Linked DNA regions of Oryctolagus cuniculus. The protein of the gene in region 3 interacts with the protein of the main gene of each other region in a biochemical or structural test. Links are inferred from orthologs where the notes say so. Each region holds a gene or a part of one and is shown on either strand. Other genes may lie near its edges.

Evidence for each region.
Region 1: the proteins of BAG6 (region 3) and SGTA form a complex in vitro, tested with the Homo sapiens proteins (4 studies listed by BioGRID, with this or other methods). The link is inferred for Oryctolagus cuniculus from reciprocal best matches to the Homo sapiens genes BAG6 and SGTA.
Region 2: the proteins of BAG6 (region 3) and AMFR form a complex in vitro, tested with the Homo sapiens proteins (2 studies listed by BioGRID, with this or other methods). The link is inferred for Oryctolagus cuniculus from reciprocal best matches to the Homo sapiens genes BAG6 and AMFR.

What each region holds. Positions count from the first base shown.
Region 1 is NC_091447.1:59,198,600-59,204,096, reverse strand, and holds part of SGTA (small glutamine-rich tetratricopeptide repeat-containing protein alpha), read left to right. Parts: intron 1-51; coding exon 52-158; intron 159-893; coding exon 894-981; intron 982-1,347; coding exon 1,348-1,447; intron 1,448-2,855; coding exon 2,856-2,960; intron 2,961-3,236; coding exon 3,237-3,375; intron 3,376-3,835; coding exon 3,836-3,898; intron 3,899-4,310; coding exon 4,311-4,348; intron 4,349-5,238; coding exon 5,239-5,328; intron 5,329-5,484; coding exon of another isoform or gene 5,485-5,494; coding exon 5,495-5,497. UniProt on the Homo sapiens protein: Co-chaperone that binds misfolded and hydrophobic patches-containing client proteins in the cytosol. Mediates their targeting to the endoplasmic reticulum but also regulates their sorting to the proteasome when targeting fails.
Region 2 is NC_091449.1:40,136,265-40,141,640, reverse strand, and holds the end of AMFR (E3 ubiquitin-protein ligase AMFR), read left to right. Parts: intron 1-1,814; coding exon 1,815-1,999; intron 2,000-2,715; coding exon 2,716-2,863; 3' UTR 2,864-4,231; downstream 4,232-5,376. UniProt on the Homo sapiens protein: E3 ubiquitin-protein ligase that mediates the polyubiquitination of lysine and cysteine residues on target proteins, such as CD3D, CYP3A4, CFTR, INSIG1, SOAT2/ACAT2 and APOB for proteasomal degradation.
Region 3 is NC_091436.1:138,968,933-138,974,429, reverse strand, and holds part of BAG6 (large proline-rich protein BAG6), read right to left. Parts: coding exon 5,415-5,497; intron 5,237-5,414; coding exon 4,984-5,236; intron 4,632-4,983; coding exon 4,554-4,631; intron 4,444-4,553; coding exon 4,336-4,443; intron 4,214-4,335; coding exon 4,101-4,213; intron 3,993-4,100; coding exon 3,905-3,992; intron 3,712-3,904; coding exon 3,428-3,711; intron 3,023-3,427; coding exon 2,731-3,022; intron 2,566-2,730; coding exon 2,396-2,565; intron 2,204-2,395; coding exon 2,150-2,203; intron 2,025-2,149; coding exon 1,922-2,024; intron 1,816-1,921; coding exon 1,691-1,815; intron 1,533-1,690; coding exon 1,386-1,532; intron 1,298-1,385; coding exon 1,238-1,297; intron 1,132-1,237; coding exon 988-1,131; intron 907-987; coding exon 799-906; intron 306-798; coding exon 159-305; intron 1-158. UniProt on the Homo sapiens protein: ATP-independent molecular chaperone preventing the aggregation of misfolded and hydrophobic patches-containing proteins.

The DNA.
Region 1 (5,497 bases), on a different chromosome or scaffold from region 3:
CAAAGCAGGCCCCGCCCAGGCATGCGGTCAGCGAGGCCTCTGTCCCCACAGTCGCCATCCAGTGCCTGGAGACGGCTTTCGGGGTCACGGTGGACGACAGCGACCTGGCGCTGCCCCAGACCCTGCCGGAAATCTTTGAAGCGGCCGCCACCGGCAAGGTGAGCCCGGGGCCACCCGGCCCCCATTCCCCAGCCTCAGAACAGCGGCAGGGGGCGCGGTGGGCTCTCCCTGGGCAGGAGAGGGGCGGGGGAGGGTGTGCGCCCTGACCTGGTCCGGGCAGCAGGGGGCGCCGTGGGCTCTCCCTGGGCGGGGAGGGTGTGCGCCCTGACCTCAGCCGGGCAGCAGGGGGCGCTGTGGCTCTCCCTGGGCGGGGAGGGTGTGCGCCCTGACCTGGTCCGGGCAGCAGGGGGCGCCGTGGGCTCTCCCTGGGCGGGGAGGGTGTGCGCCCTGACCTCAGCCGGGCAGCAGGGGGCGCCGTGGCTCTCCCTGGGCGGGGAGGGTGTGCGCCCTGACCTCTGCCGGGCAGCAGGGGGCGCCGTGGGCTCTCCCTGGGCGGGGAGGGTGTGCGCCCTGACCTCTGCCGGGCAGCAGGGGGCGCCGTGGGCTCTCCCTGGGCGGGGAGGGTGTGCGCCCTGACCTCTGCCGGGCAGCAGGGGGCGCCGTGGGCTCTCCCTGGGCGGGGAGGGTGTGCGCCCTGACCTCTGCCGGGCAGCAGGGGGCGCCGTGGGCTCTCCCTGGGCGGGGAGAGTGTGCGCCCTGACCTCGGCCGGGCAGCAGGGGGCGCTGTGGCTCTCCCTGGGCGGGGAGGGTGTGCACCCTGACCTCGGCCGGGCAGCAGGGGCGCGGTGGGCTCCCCTGGCCGGGGAGGGTCTGAGCCCTGACCTTGGCCGCAGCAGGAGACGCAGCCCGAGCCGAGGAGCCCCGAGCGGACCCCGCCCTCGGAGGAGGACTACGCGGAGGCAGAGCGCCTCAAAACCGAAGGTGGGCGGGGACGAGGGGAGGGGGCGGGGTTAGCCCAGGTGTGGAGACGCGGAGCCCCCGGCTGCCCGGATCCCCGGGCCCACCGCAGTGCTGCCCCGTGCCAAGGTCACCGCAGCTGTGGCAGCCTTGGCGGGGCAGCGGCCCCAGCGTCTGTCCGCACGTGGGGGAGCGTGGTCGCCGCGCAGCCAGGAGCGAGCGAGGCTCCGACGCTCCCTGCGTGCAGGGCCCCGCGGACGTCGCGCCGGGGGCAGTGGGCAGGGCCTGGGGGGAGCTGAGCGTCCGGAGGCGCTGTGCCCCGGGCGGGTGGGCGCCCCCAGGGCCGCGAGCTGTGCCGCGGGGCAGCGGGCCTGTCTCCCTCGTCCCCAGGGAACGAGCAGATGAAGGGGGAGAACTACGAAGCCGCCGTGCACTTCTACGGCAAAGCCATCGAGCTGAACCCGGCCAACGCCGTCTACTTCTGCAACAGGTGCGCGCGGGGGGCGTCGGGGCCGCTAGGGGTCGGTGGTCCAGCTGCGCACAGGACGCCGAGCCGGGGAGGGGTCAGAGCGCGGAGGGGTCAGAGTGGGGAGGGGTCAGAGCGGGGAGGAGTCAGAGCGGGGAGGGGTCAGAGCGGGGAGGGGGTCGGGGGGGAGGGGTCAGAACGGGGAGGGGTCAGAGTGGGGAGGGTGTCAGAGCGGGGAGGGGGTCGGGGGGGAGGGGTCAGAACGGGGAGGGGGTCGGGGGGAGGGGTCAGGCCGGGCAGGTGCTCCAGAGCCGGGCAGCGTCCCGTGTGCACCGAGCCCCCCCTCGGCCTGGGCGGGGTCACGTGCACCCCACGGACCGACCCGGTGCCTGGAAAGCTCCCGACTGAAGCGTTTGGGTCACGCGTGTGACACTGCGAGTGTCCGGCCCAGCGGTTCAGACGGAGGGCCTGGCCCGGCTCCCTGCTCCGGAGGGCCCAGTGCTCGGGTCCCTGCTGCCCACGGGAGCCCCGGGAGCGCCCCCCACCCCGCTGCAGCTCGGCCGTGTTCTCTGGTCTCGGGGCGTGTCCGCGCTCTCGCCGGGGCAGCCGGGCCGGCTGTGCCCCCGCACTCTGAGCGTTTGTGTGGTTCGGGGCTCCTTGGAGAGGCCCCGCACCCACGGTCGCCATGGGTGGGGGCCCCCTCGTGACCCTCGTCTCTGGCTGGGCCCGTCCCACGCATCGAGCCACCTCTGTGACGTGGGCGGGTTCCACACGGCCCAGCCTCGGTTCTGGCGTCCCCGGTTCTGGGCGGCGTCCCCGAGAGGGTCAGGGCCAGCTCCGCTTCTCTCTGCAAGTTTATTTCATGTATCTGAAAGGCAGAGTCACAGGGAGGTGGCCGCAGCGGCCAGGGCTGGGCCAGGCTGAAGCCAGGAGTCCATCCGGGTCTCCCACGCGGGTGCAGGGGCCACCTTCCGCTGCTTCCCCCGGCCACAGCAGAGCCGGATGGGAAGTGGAGCAGCCGGATTCGAACCAGTGCCCACGGGGGGTGCTGGTGTCACTGTGCGGGCTCCTCTGTGCTTTCTGGATGGGAGTGCGGGGGTGGGACTAGAACCCGGTCACGGACGGCAGCCAGGCCCCCCCACGGCTGTGCGCGGTGCACTCCCGCTGCAGCCCCCTCGGCGGGGTGAGCGCACGGGGTCCCCGGGACCACACGGGGCGTGGCAAGCTGGGGCTGCCGCCTAACGGACCCCGCACGGTCGTGACAGCTGGGAGGTGGCTGAGCAGGGTCCTGCTGCTGGCCTCCCCGGCCCTCGAGCGTCTGCCCGCTGGACTTGTGGCTCCATGGCCGGCCCCTGGGACAGCCTCGCCACGGCCCGCTTTCCAGATGGGGCGCTGAGGCTGCGCCCCGACCGCCCCTGCCTGTCCCCCCCAGAGCCGCAGCCTACAGCAAGCTGGGCAACTACGCGGGCGCCGTGCAGGACTGCGAGCGCGCCATCGGCATAGACCCGTCCTACAGCAAAGCCTACGGCCGCATGGGGTGAGTGCCCCCCGGGACCTCCCCTCGCTCCTTTCCCAAGCGAGCTGGGCAGTGCCAGGGCTCCTCACAAATGCCAGAGAACCGGCTCCTCCCAGGGAAGTCCTAGGAGCTGGGAGCCCACGCACCACGTGGTCACGGCAGGCTCCGCCCCGCGCACCTGCCGCCGGCCGCCGGAGGGGCAGCTCGGGGTTGCTGGGCGCCGGAGCTGAGGGCGTGGGGGGACAGAGGGTCCTCCTGGGCCCTCCCACACGCTCCCCTCCCGCCCCCTCGCCCCAGCCTGGCGCTGTCCAGCTTGAACAAGCACGCGGAGGCCGTGGCCTACTACAAGAAGGCCTTGGAGCTGGACCCCGACAACGAGACCTACAAGTCCAACCTCAAGATCGCGGAGCTGAAGCTGCGGGAGGCCCCGAGCCCGGCGAGTGGGGCGGGGCGGGGGTGGGGCCTGGCCGGCGGGGCGGGGCGGGGTGGGGCCCAGTGAGGGGCGGGGGCAGGGGCGGGGCCCGGCGAGTCGGGCAGCCGGGGGTGGGGGCTGCCCACACGCACGGGCTGCAGGGCCCGGCAGGCAGGTGACCCTGGAGTCCCGCATCACCAGAGGCCGGAGGCAGGGCTCGCGGCCGCTCAGGTCCGGCCCTGCAGTGACCCTGGGGCGCCGCGCTGCCGTCACCGGCAGTGCCGCCTGCCCTGGTGCTGGACAGGAGAGGGGCCGTGGGGGGTAGGCCCCGGGCTGCACACTGAAGCCTCCGTGGGGAGGAGCCGGCTGCCGGGCCGACCCCGGAGGCAGAACGTGAGACCCGGGGGCCTGCATCCCCCGCGGCCGTGGCCCTGTGCTGACCCCCGAGGGCCGCACTGACTGACCGGCGCTCTCTGGCCCGCAGAGCGGCGGCGTGGGCAGCTTCGACATCGCCGGCCTGCTGAGCAACCCCGGCTTCATCAGCATGGTAACGAGCCCCCCGGCCCGCCCGTCTCACTGGCGCTCCTCGGCACAGGCCCGCGGGGGACCCCCAGGGCCGACCCCCAGGGGCTGGAGCAGGGGCCTCGGCGTGGGAGGGACGGCCGTCCCCAGGATCCCCGGGGGCGGCGCTGCGCCCCGCACACCCACGTTCCTCCCGCTGGGCTCCCGCTGGGCCTCGCAGCTGTGGGACGTGGGGGCCAAGCAGCCACTTCGGCCTGGCCCCGAGAGCCTCGGCCTGGAGCCTGCTCTTGCGTGGGCCGTCACAGGCGGGGCTTGGGCTCAGAGGCCCCGCACTGACCTTCCGGGAGCCCCTGGGCCACCGGGGCGGGGGCAGGGTCTCCTGTCGGGGGCGGGGCGGGGGCCGGAAGTCCCGCCCTGACTCCCGGTGCTTCCTCCAGGCGTCGAACCTGATGAACAACCCCCAGCTTCAGCAGCTGTAAGTGACGGCGCCGCCCCCGTGGGCACCGCTCCCCCCCTCCAGGACATCCCTGCAGCCCAGAGAGCCCCTCCTGCCGCTGCACCTGCGCCCGCGGGTCCCACGCGTGTGGCCGGGGCCCCGTGTCTCCCGGGCTGACGTCCTCCGTCCCACGCGTGTGGCCGGGGCCCCGTGTCTCCCGGGCTGACGGCCTCGGGTCCCTCCAGGCCACAGCGAGCAGCAGAGCCTCGGCCTGCTCCCCGTGGGGGGGTCTCTCCTCTGGCCGCGTGCTGCTCCCCGTGAGGGGGGTCCCCTTCTTTGGCCGCGTGCTGCTCCCCGTGGGGGGTCTCCCTTCCTCTGGCGTGCACTGCTCCCCGTGGGGGGGTCTCCCCCGCGTGCTGCCGGACACCGTGGGCTTCCGTGCTGGGCTTCCTGTCCTGTCTGGGCCGCGGATTTGTGTTCGGGAGATTGTGTGTCCGCTGGTTCACCACCCACGTGGCCACGACGGCCAGGGCTCCATCTGGTGTCCCGCGCGGGTGCAGGGGCCCAGCACTTGGGACACAGCAGAGCTGGCCGGAAGTAGAGCAGCCGGGACGCGAACCGGCGCCACGTGGGATGCTGGTGGGGCAGGCGGCGGCTAACCCGCTACGCCAAGGTCACTGCTGTCTACGTTTGGGTCTGGACGGGACCTTCTGGGCGCTGCAGGGCATGAGCCCCGCCCCTGACGTCCCCCCAGTTCCGCGCCAGGAGCGCCCCCAGTCCTGACGGCCGCAGGCGACCGCAGACACGACCCAGGGCGCCTGGGGCAGCAGTGGCCCCCGCTGAGACTCCTGGGAAACCAGGCTCCCGAGGGGGGGGCGGGGCGCGGTGGGGGGGCGGGGCCGCGGCGAGTCACGCTCCCCCCCCCCCAGCATGTCCGGGATGATCTCCGGCGGCCACAACCCCCTGGGCACGCCCGGCACCAGCCCCTCGCAGAACGACCTGGCCAGCCTCATCCAGGCGTGAGTGCAGCGGTGGGGCAGCGAGGGGCGGGGCGGGGCGGGGCAGGGCGCGGTCCTGCGGGGCGGGGTGGGGCGTGGCCCTGCAGGGTGGGGCGGTGAGCAGGGGGCGGGGCGGTGAGCGGCGGTGAGCGGGCGGTGAGCGGCGCGTCCCCGCAGCGGGCAGCAGTTC
Region 2 (5,376 bases), on a different chromosome or scaffold from region 3:
GGCGCCCCAACTGGGACTAGAACCAGGGTGCCAGCGCCGCAGGTGGAGGATTAGCCTAGAGAGCCGCGGCGCTGGCCATGCTTGAGCCATCTACTGCTTTCCCAGGCCACATCTGAGAGCTGGATCTGAAGTAGAGCAGCCGGGACTCAAACCAGCACCCATATGGGATGCTGGCACTGCAAGCGGCAGCTTTACCCACTGCGCCACAGTGCCGGCCTCACACCTGAGGCTCTTGACATGAGCCTAGGCTATGGAAGCCTTTTGAGTCCACAAACTCTGTCAGCATTTGGACAAGGCTGTCAGCAAAGCGGAAGTTCTCTCCTCCCTTCAGAGAAAAGTACATCCTTCTTTGATGGCCCCTTCTTTCCACTGGGGTCTCACTCACAGAGATCCTTCATGTAGGACATTTTTTTCCACAGTGTCTTGGTGTTCCATGCCTGAAGCTCTCTTAAAGCCTCTTCCCAGGCTTGGGTGAAGGCAAAAAGAGGTGAAAGTGGGTGACAGCGAATGTCACACACCAGGAGCTCTAAGTAAAGTCGCCTGCCTCTCGGCCGCTCCCCACAAAGCCCGATGAAGCCAGAGTGGGTAGTAAGCTGACCTGCCCCTGGGGGTGTGAGCGGCACAGCTGATTGGGCACCTGCTTAAGGGTGTGGAGCATCTAGGTGGTGTTGTCTCCCTCAGGGCTTTAGCCAAAACCAATAAAGCATCCTATTTTAAAGTCTTATTATGCAAGGAAACATGTGTTCTGTTTTTTAAAAAGATCCTTAGTATTTACCCTTTTTACCTGTTTTCAGAGACCAGTTGTGCAGTAGGGGCTGGCGTCATGGCAGAGTGGGTGAAGCTACCACATGCAGTGCCGGCGTCCCACGTGGGCACTTGTTCATGTCCCAGCTGCTCCGCTCCCAGTCCAGCTTCTTGCTTAACGGCCTAAGGAAAGAAGATGGCCCATGTGCTTGGGCCCCTGCCACCCACATAGGAGACCCAAATGGAGTTCTTGGCTCTTGGGTTTGACCTGGCCCAGCTGCAGCCATTGTGGCAGTCTGGGGAAAGAATCGGCAGTTGCTAGGTCTCACTGTCTCTCCCCTCTCTCTCTGTATCTCTAACTTTTAAATAAATAAGTCTAAAAACAAGCAAACAAACCAACAGCTTGTTTACATTTTTGAGCCAGCGCAGGCATTTGGCACAGCAGTTAATACACCTCTTGGGGGGCCGGCGTTGTAGCACTGTGGGATACCTGCATCCCATGTCAGAGTACCTGGGTTTGAGTCCTGGCTCCACTTTAATTCCAGCTTCCTGCACCCTGGTGGGCAGCAGGTGACAGCTCAGGTACTTGGGCCCCTGGCACCCAAGGGGGAGACCGGATTGAGTTCTGGGTTCCTGGCATTAGCCTGGCCAAGGCCCAGCTGTTGCAAATATTTGGGGAGTGAACCAGTAGATGGAGAATTTGTCTCTTTTCGTCTCTCTGCCTTTCAAATAAGTAAAAATAGAGAAAATTTTTAATGTGCTAATGTCCAGCCATATAAAAAATTTTTTTAGCATTTAGTAGAATTGAAAGAAAATTCCCAGAATGCAAAGCCGCAGTTAGTTTGGTTTTACCAAGAATACGTTCAGTTTGGAGATGCTGATGTGTTTCAGACTGGTCCTGAGTTACTTCCTGCACTAACACGGAAGGTCTCACGGGGTCGGGCTCTGCTAGGAGTGATCCCTGGGGCACGTACGGCAACCTGTCCCCCAGGAGCGCCGTGTGCTCAGGGTGTTCTGCCAGGTAGAGGGGGCCTGTGCCCACAGCTGCTTCTGGTTTCTCCCGTGTCCAGGCGGAACGCATGCCACTGGACCTCAGTCCCCGCCTGGAGGAGCCCGTGGACTTCAGCGAGTTGGAAGCAGAGCCCGGCGAGGTGGAGGACTTTGAGGCGCGGGGCAGCCGCTTCTCCAAGTCTGCTGACGAGAGACAGCGCATGCTGCTACAGCGCAAGGACGACCTCCTGCAGCAGGCTCGGAAGTGAGTGGCTTCCCCAGCCCCGGTGGGCATACATCCAGGTCTGAGACCTGTGGCGGGGTCATCAGCGTGTTAGGCCCACTTCCACTTTAACTAAAGATGCGACATCAGGCAACCGTTACATGGCGCTTAAAAACTCAGGCTTCAAGCCTCCCTCGGGAGGAGTCCGGCCCCGCTGAGCCCGACTGGTAACTTGTGGTGGGCTTCGGTGCCCCTGTGGGCATCTTCAGACGCACTCGCACGGACAGCGCTTGCGTGCCAGCGGGTCCTTTCATGAATAACTCTTCAAACGACTCTAAGGGGGAGCATTGTTAGAATCATTTGACAGACTTACAGCTGAAGAAGCTGAGGCTTAGAGAGGTTCACGCTGGCCTGGGCCTGACGGCTGGCTCCGGGGTCCTCCCTCTTGACCACTCTGCCTTGTAGCTAACATAGAGGTGAGCACAGAGCGCACATCTGGGGCCACACCTGCCCTGTGGCTGCGGCTGGAGCCGTGGGTGTCGAGGTTTATGTCAGTGGCTGGGTTTTGTGGCCTGAGCGTGGGGACTTGGGTGGGGTGGGCAGGGAGAGGGGAGAGGGGCGCGGAGCGGTCACTTGTCCCGCCCGCCCCAGTGCAGGGAACTCAGGCTCCACTCAGGGTCAGGGTCCGCGTCTTTTTCATGAAGTTGCCCGGGAGACGGGGAGCTGCGCGTGCTCCAGAGCGTCTCATCCCTCCGCAGGCGTTTCTTGAACAAAAGCTCCGAAGAGGACGCGGCCGCCGAGAGCTTGCTCCCGCCCGCGGGCCCGTCCCCCGACCCCGTGGCGCTGCGGCGGCGGATGCTGGCGGCCGCCGCCGAGCGCAGACTGCAGAAGCAGCAGACGTCCTAGCGCCGCCGCCCCTCCTCGGCCGCCGCCGCCGCCTGAGCCCCGCGCCCTGCGCCCAGCCGGAAGAGGCTGCCCAGTGCTGCTGCCGTGTGACGCCGCGGGCCCGACTCGTTGCCGCTGTACAGAGCATGTGGTCTTCTAGTGTGTGGACGGCTGACAGATTTAATTCTTCTCTGTAATACTTTCTATGTGATATTCTCTTCCCCTTAAAAGCACTGCACATTTTCACTGTAGGCGTTGACTTGTTGGGGTGGGGAGCGATCAGGAGGAAGTGGGCAGGCGCCCGCCAGCGGCAGATACTGCGTCCTTAGCGCCACATCTGGCAGGAGGCTGTGTGCTCTGGGAGGGCGCATCGCCAGCAGCGAGCAGAGGCACCGCCGAGCCTGGCTCCGCACCGCCGCCACCGCCGCCACCTGCTGTCACACCTGAGGAGGCAGAGGAGGTGTCAGAGGCCAGACTAGGGGGCTCCCGGACCCTCGGGGCCAGCAGGGCATCTTGGGAAAGGCCGTGGTCTGCTGCCCGGAGCAGAGGAGGGGCAAGCTTGGGGCTGCAGAGTGTGAGAAGGCGACGCCCTTCCCTCCCGCCACATCGGGACTGTGTGAGCCCCAGGTCACGGCTGGCTTTATTTCCGTTAACTCTGGTGCTCCTGCAGGTCCTGAGTGTACCCGTGTCCCCCGTCCCCTCCGCGTTCCCTGGCCCTGTGGACACGGGGAAGGGGGTGGCAGCCAGCTTTGGTTTATGGTTTTAACCCCTCGGTCAGGCCCATCGGGCAGTGCCAAAGCCTGTGGGTTTGGTCTTCGGAAAAGAGGTGGGCCGAGCCAGGTGGGGGAGTGGGGAGTGCACTGGGCAGGGCTTTAGGGAAGAACTGAGAGATAGATACCTTGTGTGTATCCCCGGCCGTGGCTGTCCGCCAGACCTAGGAAGCTAACAGGTTGAATCCACATGCCTTGGAGCAGACCCAGGTCCTGAGTCTTCAAATTCCTCACGCAGTTAACTTTTGGGATTTGAAACACGCAATCATAGGTTACATAGTTCAGTTTTATGTCCCATTGGATTAATTTTTTTTAATGTTTGAAACATAGTTTTATGGTAGTCCTTTTGGGAAGAATCCCAGTATTATCTAAAATTATTGGCAAAGTTAAATGTATTTTACATAACTGGAAGTTTTTAGAATGTTGACAAGTAATTGAAAAAAGGGTGGTAGACAAATATTTAGGCAGAAGTAATTTATTTCAATAAATCTTTGAAAAGCCTTACTTTGAAATGCTGTTAGTAAACCTCTGTGATTTTTAAAATTTGTTTTGTTTTGCTGAGAGCATAGCTATTTGTTTTCATTGTAAAACAATAATAATAATAAAAAGCAAACTTTTAGTGTGTTGTGTATCGCTGGGAGTTGAGGCAGCTGCTTTCAGGGGGGTGGACATTAACTCTGATTTTGTGGGGACCATTTTGGCTGGGGGGGTTTTGCTTTCTCCAGTATGTTGGAGAAGGCAGACAGGATTTTTCTTCTCCTCATACTAGTATTTCATTTAAAAAAAATTTATTTATTTGAGAGGCAGAGTTACAGGGAGAGACAGGTCTTCCATCTGCTGGTTTACTCCCCAAATGGCCACGGGCTGGGCTAGGTCAAAGCTGGAGCCAGCACTAGGCTAATCCTCTGCCTTGTGGCACCGGCACACCAGGTTCTAGTCCCGGTCGGGGTGCCGGATTCTGTCCCGGTTGCCCCTCTTCCAGGCCAGCTCTCTGCTGTGGCCAGGGAGTGCAGTGGAGGATGGCCCAAGTGCTTGGGCCCTGCACCCCATGGGAGACCAGGAGAAGCACCTGGCTCCTGCCTTTGGATCAGCGCGGTGCGCCGGCCGCGGTGGCCATTGGAGGGTGAACCAACAGCAAAGGAAGACCTTTCTCTCTGTCTGTCTCTCTCACTGTCCACTCTGCCTGTCAAAAAAAAAAAAAAAAAAAAGGCTGGAGCCAGGAGCTTCCTCCGGGTCTCCCACACGAGTGTGGGGGCTGAAACATTTGGGCCATCTTCCACTGCTTTCCCAGGCCATAGCAGAGAGCTGAATCAGAAGTGGAGCAGCTGGGACTCGAACCAGTGCCCATGTGGGATGCCGGCACTGCAGGAGTAGGCTTTGCCCACCACACCACAGCGCCGGCCCCACATTTATTTATTTATTTTCAAGGTAAGTATGGAGGAGGCGGCTACTTTGCTTTCTCCGAGTCTGTTTTACTTTGCAGGTTGCATACCCATTAGAGATGACACTAACTCCAGTTTCTCAGGTTTATGAAGTGGAAAGAGGAAATTGATAGAGGGCCTGGGATCACTGGACTATCACAGCGTGGCAGTGACCAGAGCAGGGAGAATGCTTTACTTAGCCTACAGTGACCGACAAGCCCCAAGTTCACCCCTAAATTGTGCATCTAGACAGTTAAAGATTCTAGCTGCTACCACCGGCCCCTGGCTTTTGTCATTTGGAGGCCCCTGGGATAGGTGCTGAGGGCAGAGAGTGGGTGGGCTT
Region 3 (5,497 bases):
TACACTGTCCAATGTGGCATTGCTGAGCGTTCTCAGATGCCACGGGTCGGGTGGGGGGAATGCTTTTGACCAGTTGTCTAAAGGGGGCCAGGGGGAGAGGGGCCCTATCCCAACCCCTCCCACGGGACCATCCCTATTCTGCTTCGAGGTGGGGGCACCTGCTGCCTGTAGCTCTCCTGAACCTCTGGTGCCTCCAGGTCCCGGCTCAGGCTCTCGGGGCTCGTCAGGGGCCGAGCTCCGGCTGCCTTAGCTGCCCGGCTCACAGCTTCTGAGAGAAGCAGCTGGGGGCCCTCACCCTGCATCGTCTGGTGGACAGGGAGTTGGGAGGGAAAAGAGGATCACCGTCAGATCCAGTGCCGCCACCCAGCACACCCTTCCAGGAGTCAACCACTGAGTCTGCACACTAGCAGAGAGAAGGGAAGCAGCACACATGCGGTCTGGACAACACAAATGCCCAATTATGTTGGGCTCTGGTTAAAGGGTTTGAATGTGCTGAACTTGCTCTTCAAAACAAAAGGGGCAGAATGGGTCAAGCCATCTGGAGTTTAGAACTAGTTAGGCCGCAAAAGGAAGCCATCTTAAAGAAAAGTGGGCACTAGTCACACAGTACAATTAGAGACCAAGACAAGACTACCAGCAAACTAAGGCCAAGTCCTGTGTGGTTTTATGCAACAACTATGAGCAAGAAAATGAGTCCCAAAGGTTTCCCGAACTAGAAGAGCCCCTTCCAACTCTAGTTTGATTTTAAACATGAGAGGGGAACTTGGACAAAGATCCTCAGGGAAGAGGTAAACCGACCTTGCGTCTCTTGGCAGGCATACCACTGAGGTAGGCGTCGCTCAGGGGGGGCTGCGGCTTCACCTTCCGCTGGCTCTGAATGTCCTGCTGGATGATAGGAACCCATTCCTGGGAAAGGAAACATCCAAAAGTAGTAACTCCCACAACTCCCAGTGGCCTCAGCTCCCTGGATCACCTCTCAGCACTTACTGGGGGCACAGCAGCGGCCCAGGGTTCTGTCTCGGCTGAGGCTCCATCCTGTTCATCCTGGGAGCCCCCCTCAGGGGCAGGGGGCGGACCTCGGGACATGGCCTCTTCTGCTGTAGTTCCAGGAGCAGGGGAGGCATTCTCCCGCTGGCAGTCAGACGGTGGGAGGAGGCAGGTTTCAGAACTGAGACCCAGCCCTGCCCTCTCAGCCCCCCAGTTCCCATCATCTGGCCTCTCCACCCCTCCCTGTTACCTGAGGCTCTGGGGACGTTCTTTCTGCTCCTTGAACTTCCATGGGCTCCTCAGGCAGTGGCTGTGAGGTTGGAGAACACCGACAGGCCCTCTTAGACCCCGCCGGCCCCCTCAGGCGCCCTGGTCCCAGAGCCCGCCGTGTCCCTTACCTGAGGGGGATCACCAACCCTGCGGACGTATCTGAGGATGGCATCGGGGCCCACGGGCATGTGCTCCAGCACCACCTGAAGCCGCAGGCCCATCATGGTCGTCAGCCAGCTCACCAGTGACGGATTCACTCCACGTGACATGCGGCGCTGAGGGGCAGAAAACAGACTGGGAAGACAAAACCCTCAGCCGGCTTTTAAAATACATCAGATCTAGGGTACAGGATAGTACTTGGGAGAAGAAAAATGAGGAGCAAGGAGACCTCAAGAAACAAATGGCTGGGGAGCTGGGGTGGGATGGTGCTTACAATTCGGCCATTGATGACAGCAGCCAGCTCCATCTGCTGTCCCCCCAAGCAGTGCAGGTTCAGGGCCAGGCACTCAAACAGGCCTTGGTTACACAACTCCAGCAGCCGGGCCCCAAATCCACTGTCTGCAGGCAAGATATAAGGAGAGAATGCTGGCACCTGGCAGCTCTGCACACCCGCTACATACCATGCACCCACACCTAGCCAGCCCCTGCCTGGCCAGGCCCTGACCTGTGCAGTGCAGCACATGAGCAGCAATGCTATTAAATTGCTCTTGAAGAAATTCCAGGTTTGTCCGGATGATGTCCACACCAGGCTGAACCTGCACCAAAGACTGCGGGACAAGACAAAGACCCCAGATCAGGAACCCTGAAAGATCGGAAGTGGAGAAGGCACTACGGACATCAGCTGTCTGGACCAGACCCAAGGAGAGGAAGGCAATACAGAAGGGTCACTCACAAAACTCTCCCGCACGTATTCCTCTAGCCCTGTGATCAATGTGTGTGTCGCCATCTACGGGGAGAACAGCAGAGGTCAGGCCCAAGCCTCAGTCTCAGGAGACTTCCTTCTCTACCCCTCCCCCCTCCACAGGTCCATGTCTAGGGCTGGCGCAGTCAACGGCGTAAGCTGATACATGAACAGGGTCAGAAACAAGGTACTGAAGGGGGAAGTGGGAGGCTTCTAAGGCTCCGGGCCTTCATTTACCCGGATGTTACCAGGTGTGGGCTCCTGGCCACCCAGGTAGTGCTGGTGGAAGAAGGATCGCAGCTGGGGCTGGAGCCGCTGCAGTGGCTGGAAATGCCCATGGAGAAGCATTACCACGTCCACCATGGAGAAATTCTGGCACAGAAGAGAGAGGAGAGCCCCAAAGAATCCTGCGGACAGGGGCGAAAGTTAGCAAAGGCCTTTACCCCCAGCCAGCCCATCGGCCTCATCCCATCTTGGCAACCTCCCTAAACAAAAGCCATCTACCTACCCCCGGCTGTCCCTTCCCTGGCTATCCCCTCCTAGAGAAGACCAAGGCTCCCGTCGTTGCTCACCGAGGGCTCCATCAGCCCCAGGCTCAAAGATGTTGCTGGAGCCACTGAGGCGCTGGATGAAGGCGGCAATACTTTCACTGCTGCCAGCGCGAGCTCCCAAAGAGCCGAGCAGAGAGCTCAGCACGCCTTGTACCACGGAGGTGAAGAACTCCGGGGAAAGGCTCTCAGGACTCAGGCCTCCAGGACTCCCTGTGCCACCAGAAGGGGACCCTGGTGGGGCCGTGCTCTGCTGCTCTGGGGCAGGGGGTGGGGGTGGAGGTGGTGGAGGGGGTGGAGGGGCCGCCTGTGTTGCCTGGGAAAGAGAGAATAAAGATGATGAAGTGAGACCTGAGAGTAAGGACAGACACCGACACGGTCTGGGGAGACAGGGGGCCGTATTCTAAACCTTACTCCTTAGGAAAGAACACTCGTGGCAAGGGAGTCCACAGCAGAGCTGGCCTAAGCAACTCCTCTCTCACTGTATGGTTTAGACCAGAGAGCAGGACACTAGCCACTACAGCGTCTCTCTCTCTTCTCTAAAGCCTTATTTCCCTCATCTCCAAAATGGGAGCAGTTCAGTCAATAAAGTCCCGGCTCCCTTCTCTGGCCACAAAATTGCAGGCAATGGCCCAACAGCTACCTAATGGCAACACAGCCCCACTGCCTGGCTAGGCTGGGGCACGGGACGGGTGAGGAGAAAGGCAAGCCAGCCACTCACCTGCAAGAAGTCACTCATGCCCTGGAGAAAGGCAGGGACGCCGGGCATTGCCACGGTGATGGTGGGAGAAGCCACGCCAGGCCCTCCAGATCCTGGCCCTGCAGGCCCCAGCAAATTCCCCAGAAGCTGAGAGAACTGCAGATCAGCTGCAGGAGGCTGAGGGGGTGGAGGCTGGGCAGGCCCCCCGGGGGCAGGGCCAGCTGTGGTAGCTGTGTTGGTGGTGCCAGCACTGGCTGAAGCAGTGGCAGGAGCTGGAGGTGGAGCCATTCCTGGGGTCCCCTGAGCTGTAAGGAATCAAAGGCAAAACGAAATCTGAAGAAAATTCAGACATCACAGCACCCTCATTAGGTGTTAACAGGACAGTGAGAACCAAGAGAACATGAGAAGAAATGGAAAACAGCAGTTCACACGGACAGTGTCGGGCTTTGGAATCATGGCGATCTCTGAAGTGTGGGGTGTGGAAGAGCGAGGACTCACCCACAAGCACAGGCTGCATGAGAAGCTGCCCCACAAGGCCGCTCACCATCTGGGCCAATGAGGCGTTGGTACCCAGTCCAGCACCCTGCTGGGGAGAGAAGTGGGGAGATTTTTATCCCTACCTTTCCCACATACCAGTTTGGGGTTCTTTCCCCTAACTTTTCCCCACTGGAACAACTCCCCTACCCTTGCTCACCAGAGCCCCGGAGACTGGAGGCCCCCCAGGATGGGAAGGCCGAGCCTGTGGAGGAGTTGGCCGGGCAATCACCACCCGGGTTGGAGCTGTTGGGAAGCCTGGGACCTGCTGTCCTGTGGGGGGCAGAAGAGAGAGACCGGAGAGAGCTGAGGGCTGGGCCCTTGGCCACTAGCTGACAGCACCCGCCACCATGGACTATGCCCCACCTCCCAGGCCTCCCCTTCCAGGTCATTACCTGCTGCCGCGGAGGCAACAGCTGCCACCATGGCCTGATGAGTGATCTGGTGGGCGACGGCGTGCATGAACTCAGGGGGCAGGGAGGGCAGCTGGATGAGGGTGGAGCCTGGGGGGCGGGTCTGATGTAACCTTGAACCTGGACCCCTTTAACCCACCCATTCAGCCCTACCCCTTCTCTACCCAGAGCTCAACCTGCTCTGATGCCCTCACTCTTACCCAGGGTCTGGCCATGACCAGGGGGTCCTAGGGGGCCAGTGGGAGCACTCGGAACACCACCGGTCTGTGTGCCAGAATCTGGGCAGGGAGACAGAGAGAGTGGCCCTGAGACAGGCGGGGCCAAGCCCTAACGGCATCCTCCTGAGATCAGCTGTCCTGCAGGCTCCCACTTCCCCAGCCGGAACACCTGCCTTTCTCTCCATCAAGACAGGGAGCAGGTGCTCCCTTCACCACACCAACAAATCACCAAGGACACAGCACCCATCCTGCCCCGCCCCACACACGACGCTTAAAGCTGCTGCTCTGGCTCCTCTGCCAGCGCTGCCAGCAGCAGCCTCTCCCTTCCCCAGCCTCGCACCTCATACCTCAGCGCCAAGCCTACCTCCTTCACCATGCTGCTCTTCTCTGCCAGCGACCGACTCTAACTCACCTTGAATGTTCATGTGCATCATGACTACGGGTTCCACGCTCTGGTGGGAAATTCGGATGACCCTCGGGTGACTGGTGGCTGGCTGGGGAGCTGGCCCTGGAGTGGAAGCCCCCTCCGTGGACGACTCGACAGTGGTAGAAGACGGAGCCAGGGACGAGGCCTGCCCGGGACCAGAGGAAGGTGCCTCTGCATTAGGAGCTGGGGGGGGACGAGTCCCATTCCCCGTCATGGTCACAGTAGTCCCCACATTAATCTGGAAGAAACAGGGGGACAGGCGGGAATAAGAAACACACAAACACCTAGAACAGATCACCTTATGAGATACCCCTGAAGTCTTCCTCATCTTCATCACTACGTTTCCAAAGTCTCCTCCCTTCCTAATCACTCCACCTACACCCTCCATTCTCTCCGACCCGCTCTTCGTGACGCACCTGGATGGGAATGGCTGCCTGCTGGAGCACCATGGGGGTAGTGTAGTGAGACATGGGTCGGACCACATGCAGGTGGCGTGGGG